Linked DNA regions of Neodiprion lecontei. The protein of the gene in region 1 purifies or fractionates together with the protein of each later gene. This does not show direct contact. Links are inferred from orthologs where the notes say so. Each region holds a gene or a part of one and is shown in the gene's direction. Other genes may lie near its edges. The genes, in order: activin receptor type-1 and protein 60A.

Region 1 (7,166 bases):
ACACGAAAAAGACTGCACAGCTAAAGCCGGGCCTCTCTTGGCTGGTATACACATACACTTTAAGTGGGGGTTGTTTAAATCTGTGGGATAAAGTTTATACTCAGCTACAATTAGGTTTCTCTCTGTCAGCTACACACAGTACTTTAATGACAAAAATTTATTTCGTGTTGGTAAGCCTGCAACTGTGTTGGGTTTAAAATGACAACCGTATGGCACTTGAATGTAGAAAGCCTTGTAGCCATCAAACGGAGTAACGAGAAGAACTTAAGAACTGTCAGTTACTGTTTATAACCTCAGTAATACAATATATGAAGCAATATAATGCAATGTTCTCCGTAATTTTATTCATTGATTAATAATCACCTATCCATCTTTTATTTTCCATTTTTTGAATAGCTTATAATTAACATATCTCTCATCTGTAATTCGAAACGTATTTTTTTTTGTTACACACCCTGGTGATACTTCAACATGGATTATGTTTTCATATCAATAATTGTTCAAGTAATAAATAGGTATATTATAAGCCCATCGACATTCTACGTTTCTTCCAATTATGAGTGCATTATTCCTTATCTGCAAGTAAATATCAATTTTGGCGTTCTATAAAAGATTTCACTTTCTGTTGCACTGCGTTAAAAAGATTTCGTCAAGTTTCCCGTTTTAGACGCTCGTGTATTTTTCCAATAGTTTCATCCAATTCTTCTCTTACCATTGGTGTCATTGAGAGAAAATTGCTCAGCTTCGTCTCCATGTCCATCTCGTACCCGTTCGATTTACGATAATTCGCATCCTCGAAACTCGTATTTCTTCGTCAATCTCGGTCGCTACAGCTGATTTCAGACGCACTGCGCAGACATGTTGCGCATATGCAGTGCGCACACACAATGCGCACACCGGAAGTGCTCTAATCCTAGGGGAAATCGCAAATTGAATAATTATTTAATATCAATTAAAATATTAACTCTCTAACAGTTTTTTTCTACTCTCAAATCCTCTCAAACGATTCTCAAACGATGAAAAAGAAAAATTAAACGTCTAAGTCCATTTTTTGAGGAGATAGAAAATATGGGGGCCAACTTCACACCCAAAATTAAAATCAATTTTCCGGAAAACCTACTAACTCTCAAACGATTTTTCTGTACTCTCAAACCCTCTCAAACGATTCTCAAACGAATTGCATTAATTAGATTTAAAAATAACAACTTCGGGGGGCCAACTTCACGGAGGTGAAACCACCGGCATTCATTCCGCATGAACCTACCATTACTTCATCGATAACCGCATCAGATTATTATTGAAAACAGAATAAATCATGATATAGCTACGTCTTTTGTAAAATAATAACTAACTCAAATTTTTTTCACAAACAATACTCTTGCCGAATTGAGTTGCGCGTGCAGGGAAGGACGCAGAGGGCGCTTGATAATGAATTTATCTTGTCCATTTTCGATTACGAGAAGTCCTATGAGGCTAGCAGTCTTTATATATCTTCAGTCAACGCGACAATGAGTGGAACTCGATATTTTTTGGTAGTATCTGAGTCACGGTCTTACATACAGGTCTTGCAACGAACGTGGTGGGGGGTAGTCAGTTCACGTCCGAAACAAAAGTACAACTTATGGCCACAAGAGCGACGCTACGAGTTATTCATAAGCTTATTATTATTCTTTGGCGGAACCCTAACCAATCTTTTTGATACTTGTACACAGATAACCTTACGTTGGTAATGTCAGTCATATGTCCTATGAATAACTGACAGCGCTGCGTAGTGGTCAGTAGTGGCAAAAAAATTTGGACAAAACGCGGCTATCCCCACCACTCAAATTTCAGTTCGTTGCAAGACCTGTATGTAAGACCGTGATCTGAGACAAGTAGTTTATTGTTTTGACGCGCACAGACATGGCGGATGTTATATTTATCACGCATTTTGTGCTTTTGTTGACGTTCAAATTATGTCCAGGTACGAGCCTTAATGCACGCATACAGGATTATTCTACTTTGTGTTTACCGAAGAAAATTTTTTAAGGATACGAGCATCAGCTGAGTAACGCAATATTAATAGCCCTTATCAGTGCCACAAACGGCAACGAAATGACTAAATTTCTTCTTTTACATCTCGCTCAAAAAAGGGGTAGTTCATGTGTTAACGGAAGAAATACGAACAGTGCCGTAAGAGATTCAACGGCTGTTTTCACGAAATTTTAAAACAATTATGATTTTCCGAGTACGAACTTGGCGTGCATAATTTTGCATCCCTATGTCAGTGTGTATCAAATTATTTCATGTCGTTTTGGATTTAACAGGAGAAAAACAAAGTATAGGATTGAGGGAGGTTGACGTTTCCATGGACAATGAAGAACCACCTGATCCTCTTGAACCGATAGATCGTCAGATTACGGGCGGTATTTCAACCCAAAAACGTTACAAGTGCCTCTCTTGTGATCCTCCAGATTGTTCGTCTGAAGAAACCTGCAACGATGCAATCACAGTAGGTTCAAAACCTTTCCAGAGAGATTTTTCTACATATCATTTATCACTTGCACTAGTTTTATTAAATCATTCATTTATTTGTTATTAATCAGCTAGATCCAGTTTTCTTCTCTCTCAATTTCAGTTTTGTACCAATAAGACAGAATCAACCACATAACTTTTCATTACATAAATGGATTCAAGTTGACTATTGAGTAAAAATAATACCTGCGCTGCTTGTTATCATTCATGTCATTAAAATATTTATTTTTCCAACAAGTAACTGGTCTACTCAGTTTTAGGAAGACAATATCTATTAGTTCAATAAAGATAGCTTCAGCGCTCACTCCATTTTTGATTTATGTCAATATGAATACCGTTTGAAATGCAATTTTTCAACGCACAGCTGGAACTGAAAGCAAATTTAATAAAGTAGTAGAAGCTTTTCAAAGTTCAGAGTTCTTGCTTTGTCTTCAGTGCAATTTTCCTATATCATCTTATAAATTCAAATTGCATTTATATTTTTCGTACAATCAGATCTGATGCGGATAAATCATACATTAAATTTAAAATAGTGTCAATTGAAGTGAAACTTCGTACAGTGATGAAACCATACAGTATTTTTACAATAAAAGATTATCGTTCATCATGTGTATAAATTGGAAGAAACATATGGCTGATTTGTTAAGTGATCATCTGAGCCTTAACACACAAAAGTGGTAGTGTAATACCAATTTAATTTTCTTCCCCATCAGTGCTGGAAGTCCAAAGTGCAGGAAGCAGATGGGACACAGCAACTGAGTAGAGGGTGTACCATAAAACCTGAACAGATGCCGCTGATATGTAGCAAACAACAACCAGTTGGAAATGGTAGTGGAAAAAAGAGACAAGCAAGCAGTTCAACTAGAGGTGGACAATTCAGCGTTGTATGCTGCCAGGGTGATTTATGTAATAACGGACCTTTTCCTGACCTGCCCTCGCACTATTCCCCGGAGCAATCGAACGGTGAATAGAAGTTGAAAGATAGAAGAAAAATAAATATAAATTATTGACGTTTCATTCATACTGAAGTTCATGAAAATTTGATGGTTTAGCTATAACAATAGTTTTTCCTTTACAGGAGTGGAAGATTATGCACTAAAACTGACTCTGGCAATCCTGGGTCCGATGGTTGGACTTGGAGTAGTCGGAAGCGGCATACTCGCTTGTATACTCATTCGTAGGACACGTCGCAAGCGCCCATTGGTCCCTCGACGAAACAAACTTCTAGTTGACTCAGAACTAGAGCCTTCCTCACTTCATTTTTCCTCATCTCCCTCCACAACTTCCACCTATCATACGCATGAGCTCAGAGCAACTGCTGCTGGTGATAGCACCCTCAAGGTATCAAATTGTAATCATTAGCAGGCCAGATGTGATATTTCGATGACATCACGTTTGGCCTGAGTACTGCAGTATATTTGCAAATACGTAAAATTACTTGCAAATTAGTGAAATCATTGGCAAGTGCATACTTATTGGTATAATCATTGTGATTTGTTTATCTACTAAACAGGAATATCTGGATGGACGGAGTCTGACTAGCGGTTCAGGATCAGGATTACCATTACTTGTTCAACGTACACTAGCAAAACAGGTAGCATTAGTTGAATGCTTGGGAAGTGGAAGTGGTGGAGGTGGCGGATTTGGTGGCGAAGTATGGCGTGGTGTCTGGCACGGGGAGTGCGTAGCTGTAAAAATATACTTCTCAAGAGATGAAGCCGCATGGACTCGTGAAACGGAGGTATATTCTAGACTTTTACCATCACGTCACGACAATATTCTCGGATATGTCGGCACCGATATGACAAGCAGAGGAAGCTGCACTCAATTGTGGCTAGTGACACACTACCATCCACTTGGCTCTCTTTATAATCATTTAAATCGTTCGCCCCATCCCCTGACACACCACCAAACGCTGAACATCTGCCTGAGTGTGGCAAACGGACTACTTTATTTACACACTGAAATTAATGGAACCCGAGGAAAACCAGCAATGTCGCACCGCGACTTGAAAACCAAAAATATACTTGTCAAAGCAAATGGTGCCTGCGCAATATCAGATTTCGCACTTGCTGTAACTCAGGAACGTCTCACCATGGATCGAGTTGATCTTCGTCAAGGTACCAAGCGGTACATGAGTCCAGAAGTCCTCGATCAAACGTATGCACAATGTTATGTTTGTTGAGTTTTTACATCTTAACTTTTATCTTAACTCAAATCTAACAAGATACTATTAAATTTCTGATTACAGAATAAACATAGAGTGTTTAGAGAGTTTTCGTCGTGCAGATATTTACAGTTTAGCACTGGTTATGTGGGAGGTAAGTCGGAGATGCGTGAGTAGTGGTGTGGCTTTGGATTATGCTGCTCCTTATTCTGAGTGGCTTTCGGGTAGCAACCAAGAACCCTCTTTTGAAGAAATGCGAAAATTGGTGTCGCTGAATCAGCGAAGACCACCTCTTCCAAACCGATGGCACTCAGATCCTGTAAGTTTGTTTATATAATGTATTTTTATTGACTGCAATAGAAAAACAAAATCAATTTACTACATTCATGTTGTTTCTTAGACTCTCGCTGGAATGGGAAAATTGATTCGCGAGTGTTGGCATGGGAAACCTGCTGCACGTCTCCCGGTACTCAGAGTGAAGAAAACGCTTGTGAAGCTGGCATCAAATGACCCTCATGTTCATTTGCCCCTAGACTGACTGGTAACTTCACCTACCAGTTCTCACACACGTATTTATTATTACTATAATTTCATCAAATCATCATTTTATTCATGTCAAATTTTTTCAACCAGTATGAAACTTTGTGTCATTACCTCTGAGAGTATAGAAAATATCGTCTGTCCACATATTAAGGCGATGCTTGCAAGTCTTCTAGTACTATCTCATGAATTTTATTTCACATTACATCATTGAACCGCAGTTAAAACTATCAGTACAGCTACTCAGAAATAGCATCAATTAGAATCTTAAGTTTGTGATGTAATAATGTATAAATCATGTCTATAAATCAGTTACAAGCTGCTGCAACGTTATGGAAGAATTTTTTAACTGTACGTAGTTGCGAAAGACAAGCTTAAGGTTTCCAACCAGAGCTATACCTTGGTTCCAGCTAAGAAAACAGTATGAATGAAACTAGTTGTGAGATAGATGTCTGCTGAGAATGACCTGTTTCTTCAAATGTCACTGGGTCTGCTGTGCGTAATCAATTTCAGGGTGGCCACTCATCTGGAAAACCTGGAAAAATGGGATATATTAGAGGATTTTGTTTTTTCAAATATTATTGATGATTTAAATTGGAAGATTGTCAATTTTCTTGTCTGCTATATGCGCTCGAGTTTTTGGTTTATCTTTTGAATTCCTGCACTTGATCAATTATTATGATTTATCTGTATAGATCAGAATGATGATACGCATACAACATGTATGCTGCAGACCAAAACTTTGACGTTCTATTAATGAAGTAAATATTTACTTCAAACATTTTCGAAAATACAGGAAAAGTGTTTCCAAATGCGATAAACCCAAGCAAGAAGTCAGAGGAAAAGCGTAATTTCGGTCAGGGAAACAGAATTTCCAAATTCAAATTGTGTGACCACCCTGAGTTTTCACAGCTACTTGGAAGTCAATAATAAACTTGCACGATGAAGAACGAATTTTTCGAACATCATTCAGTTGCTGTTCAATATAGTTATTCTGTAAAATTGCCATAGCTTGTACCTGAATTTGAATTCGTCAATACAAACGCATTTTGTAGGTACTCTTTGTATGTACAAATTGATTTCACGTAGGTAATCAATGAAAGGCAGTCCGAACGTTTTTCGGACAGTCTTTAACTGTATTTTATATGTTACCTTGTGGTTGTTTTTATATTTTTATTGCTACAACACGTGTACATAATGCCCTATTGTTGTGCGCATCACTTACATAGTTTATATTATTGGAAACGTCGATGATCTATTGAGAGTCGTTGTAAATAGTATCTTTGTATTAATATTAACTTTTATTATGTTTATCATAAAAAAATGTACGAAAATAAGTAATATACAAGTATATAATGTGTAATCGAATAATTAGCGAATTTCCCATTTTCATCAACAACACATGTCAAAATATGAGGCATTCATTTAATTGCGCTAATTCCGTAATTTTTTGACGTGGTAAAGCGTTATTTTCCACAAACAATTACTTCTAATTCAGATACCGGAAAACACTTATATGGCATGATATGTTATTCTCATATTCTTGTAATACCTAATTGTTCTAAATGATTCAAGTTTATAGCGTTAACTGTCAAACTCAATTGACATGGAGTCAGTTTCTTTTATTTGAGCGGGAAGTGCTAATACCACATTTAGAAAATCTGAACTTTGGGTACGCACAGACATTTCGAGGAAATGATTAAGCATTGCCAAATTACCTTTGGTACCGTACAATATTTGTATAATCAGATACCTCCACATGAGTGGCTCTGTTTCTGAATGCCCTCTTAACAAGAGTGGTAAGAGTTCGGTTATATGAGCCCAGTCATGTCTCATTAGGCATTTTCTCATTTCAGTGGCTATTAAGGCATGAGAAAATCCTGACGAAGCCACTTTCTTTGTCTTACGATTGCGCCTGTTGTGCATTTTACTACTACAACAATGA
Region 2 (5,264 bases), on another chromosome or scaffold:
AGTTGGTCCAGCAAACGCATGGGTCAAGTATAACCGGTCCGAGTTATGACCATTGGTATGGTGTTACGTGTACGTACGTACTATACGTGCATCGTCGCCGTTGTCGGGCTGCGGCAGAGGCAAGCAGTCTGGTGCGGCCGTTCGAAGAGCGAGAAATTTATTACAAGAGACATGCGAGTTGGGAATTGTTGGTTGGCGCAGACTTTGCGGCACCGTTTTTGCGCGCAAGCAGGCGCGCTGCCGCTGAGGAAAATCGGTGACTCCGAGTATCGTTAATCAAGATTTAATAACGATCACCCCAAGGCAAGGCGAACGTGCAGCACCTTGCAGAGCAGTTACGTCGATTTCTCGCATATGTACGAAACGTTCGTTCAAATATGCCGAATACACGCATGCATATACGCGACATGGAATTCCATACGTATGTAATACTCGTAGTCGGGAATTTGCCCGCGGGCTTTTCTCCAGCTCTCGTGCATACTTACGTGTATAAGTGCGTAGGTACGTATGTATATACGTACATACTTGTTTATCTTATTAGTTATTTCTTACACGTGAACAGACGGTGCTCCCTGCTTTACCTCGTGCCTCCCTACCTGCCTCTCCGCGCCTCTCTTTTCTCCGTTCTCATCCTCCTGCCCCTCTCCTCTCGCTCTTTCTCTCTCTCCTCCGCGAGCCTCCTCTTCGGCAGGAGAATCTTCTCATCCCGTATTACCTAGCATCCACGTCGGTGTCGACTCGACAGGGCCGTACAATTATTGTTTTTTACAATGTTATCACGGTGTTTGAACACCGACGACAGCTAGTACAGCCCGCGTTTCTCGTAATATCGTTCAAATCAATATTTTCGCGATTTACATTCAATTTGCCGCTTCCGGCGATCATTAGAACGGTTCAGTAATCCAAAGCAATCACGGTTTTAGACCCCATAGCAAGTTTTCCAACGATTTAAATGATGACTCAATAAATCATTTCATAATTAATAATGAAACGTTACTTATGTATTTTATCGAGTCCGCTTTTTTCACATACACACACTTTGGCTACATCAGTCTAATTAGTTGTCCCCGTCAGTAAAAATGTTCTTCATTCAACGATCGGTGGTAGCAGCCTTCTTTAGATCTACCGTTCTGGTAAAAAATACATATCAATTTTTACACGATGATTCATAAGAGACTGAATAAACATCAATTATCTATATATTGTCCCAATTCAGCATCAAATATTTGAAAAATTGCATTTGTATGCGTTCTTCATGAAAAGAATATTATATTTCACTACATTTCCGCTATTACGGCATACGCTACTGTACTTCTGGTATAAACAAGTTACGAGATGGAATTCGAAGAAGTTGTCAGCTTTATAACTGATCAGTGCCATTTGATGGCTTCAATTATAACCGCCGTTTTTGTGCCATTCTGCACGATGTCTTGAATTTTTGATCGAACCCCGGCATATCCCGTACCGCAATAAATACTTTCACCCAAACATTACTCTCTCTATCTTTCGCTCTCCGTCCTGCTCTTCGAGAAACGGTCCTACACCAATAACAACAACAACAACAACATCAACAACAAAACACGCGTAAATATGCAACCAGAAACATGTTCAAAATAATCTTAAAGCTCTCTTTTTAGCTCTAATTGCTCTGATTTGCGCTAAACGTTATTCATAATGAAACAGTAAACAGAAACCCAGATAGAAACCGTTCAAATTTATGCGGAAATATAAGCGTACGAAAATTTGAACTTTAAGATGAGCGGTGTAAAAGTAGATTAGGAAGCAGGTCTGAACTATGCTAAAAAAAAGGAGAGGAAAAACACCGATGTCCAAAATGTAGCGTCAAGACATAAAAATGGTGTTTCAGAAGCGCGCGTGTTTCAGCTATAATCAAATTTGATTAGTATTCTACATTTCGGAGAATATGATATTTGAATATACACGCGTAATAATTAACTCTGAGCGAACCGGAATCTGCGTTCAGGAAAAATCAGAAAGCTTCCAGAAGCATAATTTGGCGTGATTTGAAAGGACATGATCAACGTGCAAGCACCTCGGGTGTCAAAAATTAGTTAAATCTTGGTCTTCCAGCGTCGGATACTGAAGAAAAATGGTCCTATAAAAACCGACCTGATTGCGAATGTCAACGAATGACAAACACGTTCAATATTTGAAAAATTCAACACGTCTTTTGTCTTTTTCGTCAGTTTCTGTGATTCATTTTCGTTCGCTTGAGACCGAAGTCGGGTTCCAGGGTAGCTGCAACGCCATTGAGCATTAGGCGTAGGGGGAACCCCTCCTCTTATTCCGTCCCTGAGCCTGAGGCCTTGCGAGAAGTTATACGGAGAGGCAGGTTGGCGATCGGGCCAGACAAGCAGACTGGCACTAGCATTGCCTGCGGAGTGATCACGAGGAATTAAATGGTGAACGAACGAACGAGGAAACGCTGCACCACTGCTTTCGCTCTGTACGGGAAAAAGAGACGCGTGAAATTAAGTAAATAAATACGTGCAAGTGAGAGTTGGAAAAATTGTTTATAGTATAACAAGTTCGATAAAAGCGAAAGGCGAAAAATCATTGAGAAACAAAGCGAATCAACGGGGATAAAACGACAGTAAAACGGACCGGATAAAGATAAACATAAACATCAACGGCACGTTTCCCGCAGTGCATAAGAGAAGAGAGAGAAAAATATCGAGTGATAATACTGATTAGCGGTGTGACAATTGGCGGGAGAAATTCAAATTCCGGCGCAGGGCGCAACTCTGCCGAGGGAGTCGACCTTGTTTCTTCATACGAGATCGAAGATGCTCCGTTTTGGTAAATTGTCAATCGTCGCGTTGTACTCGTCGTTGTTGTTGTTGTTCTTCACCGAAATCGGCGACTCGGAGGGACGTCTGAGCGGACTTTACGTCGACAATGGTCTCGACCAGACGGTTATACATCGGGTAGTTACGCAGCGCGAAAGACAGGAAGTTGAACACGAGATATTGAACCTCTTGGGGCTACCCGATCGGCCCAGAGGACTCGGTGGACATCCGCCACAGGTGAAACGATCGGCGCCCAAGTTTCTCCTCGACATATACAGGAACACCCTCGGCGAGGGGGAGGATCAGGACTTGTCGTCTACCGTAAAACCCGAAGGAGACCGCGGGCACTTTGATCTCAGCGGACAAGACCTCAGAGCAATTGACCAGAGCGATGTTATAATGAGCTTTGCTGCGCACAGTGAGTATAAGAAAAAAAAAAAAAAAACAGGAACAGCGGCAAAATTTGGCAGGAAGGAAATTTTTTTTTTTTTTTTGTCAATCAATTCGCGTCAAAGCCCTTGTTTAATTTTAAATTCAAAATTACTTGTATTTCCCGCCGCGTTTCTGTGTTTTCCTACAATCAGTTTCAACGATTTGTCGATTTGATTAGTCAGTCAATTGCACCCGATATTAAAATCGGAATACTGAAAGTGTTTTACGTATATTAGGGGATGTTTCAACAATCGAAAATCAACGCGAGAAAAACAAAAACTGGGAAAATTATTATATATAGAAGAAAGTTGCGTTACTTCAGAATCGTTACAACGCAGATTGCACATGATGATGGGTCTGGTCATTGAGTGATTTGAACACGGTCTAAGTTACATTAATTTCCTGTCAGTCGAAACATCGTTGAACTTGAATACATGATTGACCAAATTCGAATATAACAACATTAAACTAACTAGTTTGTTCCTATGGGATTTTTGAGATAGTTTAACAATATTGTAGACATAAAAAGTAGCGTTTCTTCGTTTCGAAATTGTTCGACAGCCCCGTTAATTTGACGTGTTCATTAGGTTACGCCGTACACGTCGAGTAAGTGTATTTAAATCATGCAGATGCTCACGGCCCTGATAAATACGCAATCATGGACGTACATCATACATAACACTCCTGTGACATTTCGTTAGCGAGAAATACGAATTTGCATATTTTTAACACCAAACTCTCCGGCTGCCTTGTTCGACTCTCGGCAATATTTAATAAACAGATTTCTACTTAATGTTCAGATTTTTCTGTAAACTTCATTCCATGCGAAAAGAAGTATTCACCAATTTATGATAATCTGGCGAGACGAGAATGATGGGAAAGATCGTCGTCCAGTACCTACGTTTAAAAAATGTCAGCGCGTGATGGCCATGTTTGTCAATTTTTTTTTCTCTCCGTCTTCACATTCCTATCTGTCTCTCTCTCTCTCTCTCTTTCTGTCTCTTTTCGCGTCACCGAGTAAGAATTTATAATTGACATTCCGCGTGATGCGCTGAAACATCGTTTCTCCTCGAAATCAGTAAAAAGCTTTTGAATCTTGTTTGCAAAATTTCTGCCCTATGATTTGTACGCATTGAGAAATTCGATATCTTCCAGAAATCAATGAAGACAGAAAGTAAAATGTTATAGAAATATATAGTTCATTTAATATAGATTAACAGGATATTTTTCACCATTATACTTTACACGCACACTGCACGTAGTCACGTTCCCTATCATGAGCTAGGCATGAAAATTTTCAAACGATAAAATAGTGACGAGTCAAAAGTATTTCTCACGTTTGGTATAACAGCAATCTTAGAAACGGTTTAATTCGACGTATTCACGTGTTTGTTACAATTTGTTATACCTGAGCGTAGAATAACGCCGGAAGGGAATTCTGACCACTATCAGCAGCAGCGGAATAATAATAGTATTTCATCTAACACCGTAGGTGCCTCGAAAGTAGGTCCTGAAAAATAATCACCATGCAATCTTGTGCCTTATACCTATACTCGATGCATTGACAATAATTTCCCAATGAATTATGCAACATGAACTGGAAGTCTGACGTCGAGTTGATCGTAGCTTGTAAATATATCGGACAGTTTATTACGCATCGTTTCTTACTTTTTGTAACTCCTCTTGTTTTTTCACCGCTCTCGTGCCTCCTACTAATAATAGATTTCTGAGACAATGAGCAGCGATATAACTTTCAGTAATCGAGTCGTCCCGGCCGGGTGGTCCGAATATTTTGTAAATGACGGCAAAGACGGGGGAGTTGAAACGCTTGTTTTTAACATGCGGCATCGAACAATTCCGAGGAGGGTGAGGGTCGATGGGGCCTCGAGGGAGGTTTCTTACCTGGGCCCTGTACGGCCCTCGGTCCCCTGCGGTCCCTCCCGCTGTCCTACTTAGAATTTAGATTATATTGACTCATCTTGTCTTGTGAGAAAGACGAACGGAGAGAGGAAAAGGAGAGAA

What was found.
Region 2: the proteins of activin receptor type-1 (region 1) and protein 60A purify together in Drosophila melanogaster (affinity purification with western blotting, with the first as the bait; 3 studies listed by BioGRID). This does not show direct contact. The link is inferred for Neodiprion lecontei from reciprocal best matches to the Drosophila melanogaster genes sax and gbb.

The regions. Positions count from the first base shown.
Region 1 is NC_060262.1:35,383,027-35,390,192, reverse strand, and holds activin receptor type-1, read left to right. Parts: upstream 1-1,826; 5' UTR 1,827-1,902; coding exon 1,903-1,963; intron 1,964-1,980; exon of another isoform or gene 1,981-2,047; intron 2,048-2,306; coding exon 2,307-2,491; intron 2,492-3,227; coding exon 3,228-3,477; intron 3,478-3,592; coding exon 3,593-3,855; intron 3,856-4,027; coding exon 4,028-4,674; intron 4,675-4,765; coding exon 4,766-5,000; intron 5,001-5,081; coding exon 5,082-5,219; 3' UTR 5,220-5,730; coding exon of another isoform or gene 5,731-5,756; 3' UTR 5,757-6,579; downstream 6,580-7,166. Other genes in the region: uncharacterized protein LOC107224729, read right to left, coding at 6,806-7,166.
Region 2 is NC_060261.1:30,142,734-30,147,997, forward strand, and holds the start of protein 60A, read left to right. Parts: upstream 1-2,256; 5' UTR 2,257-2,807; coding exon 2,808-3,228; intron 3,229-5,264. UniProt on the Drosophila melanogaster protein: Required for the growth of imaginal tissues and for patterning of the adult wing.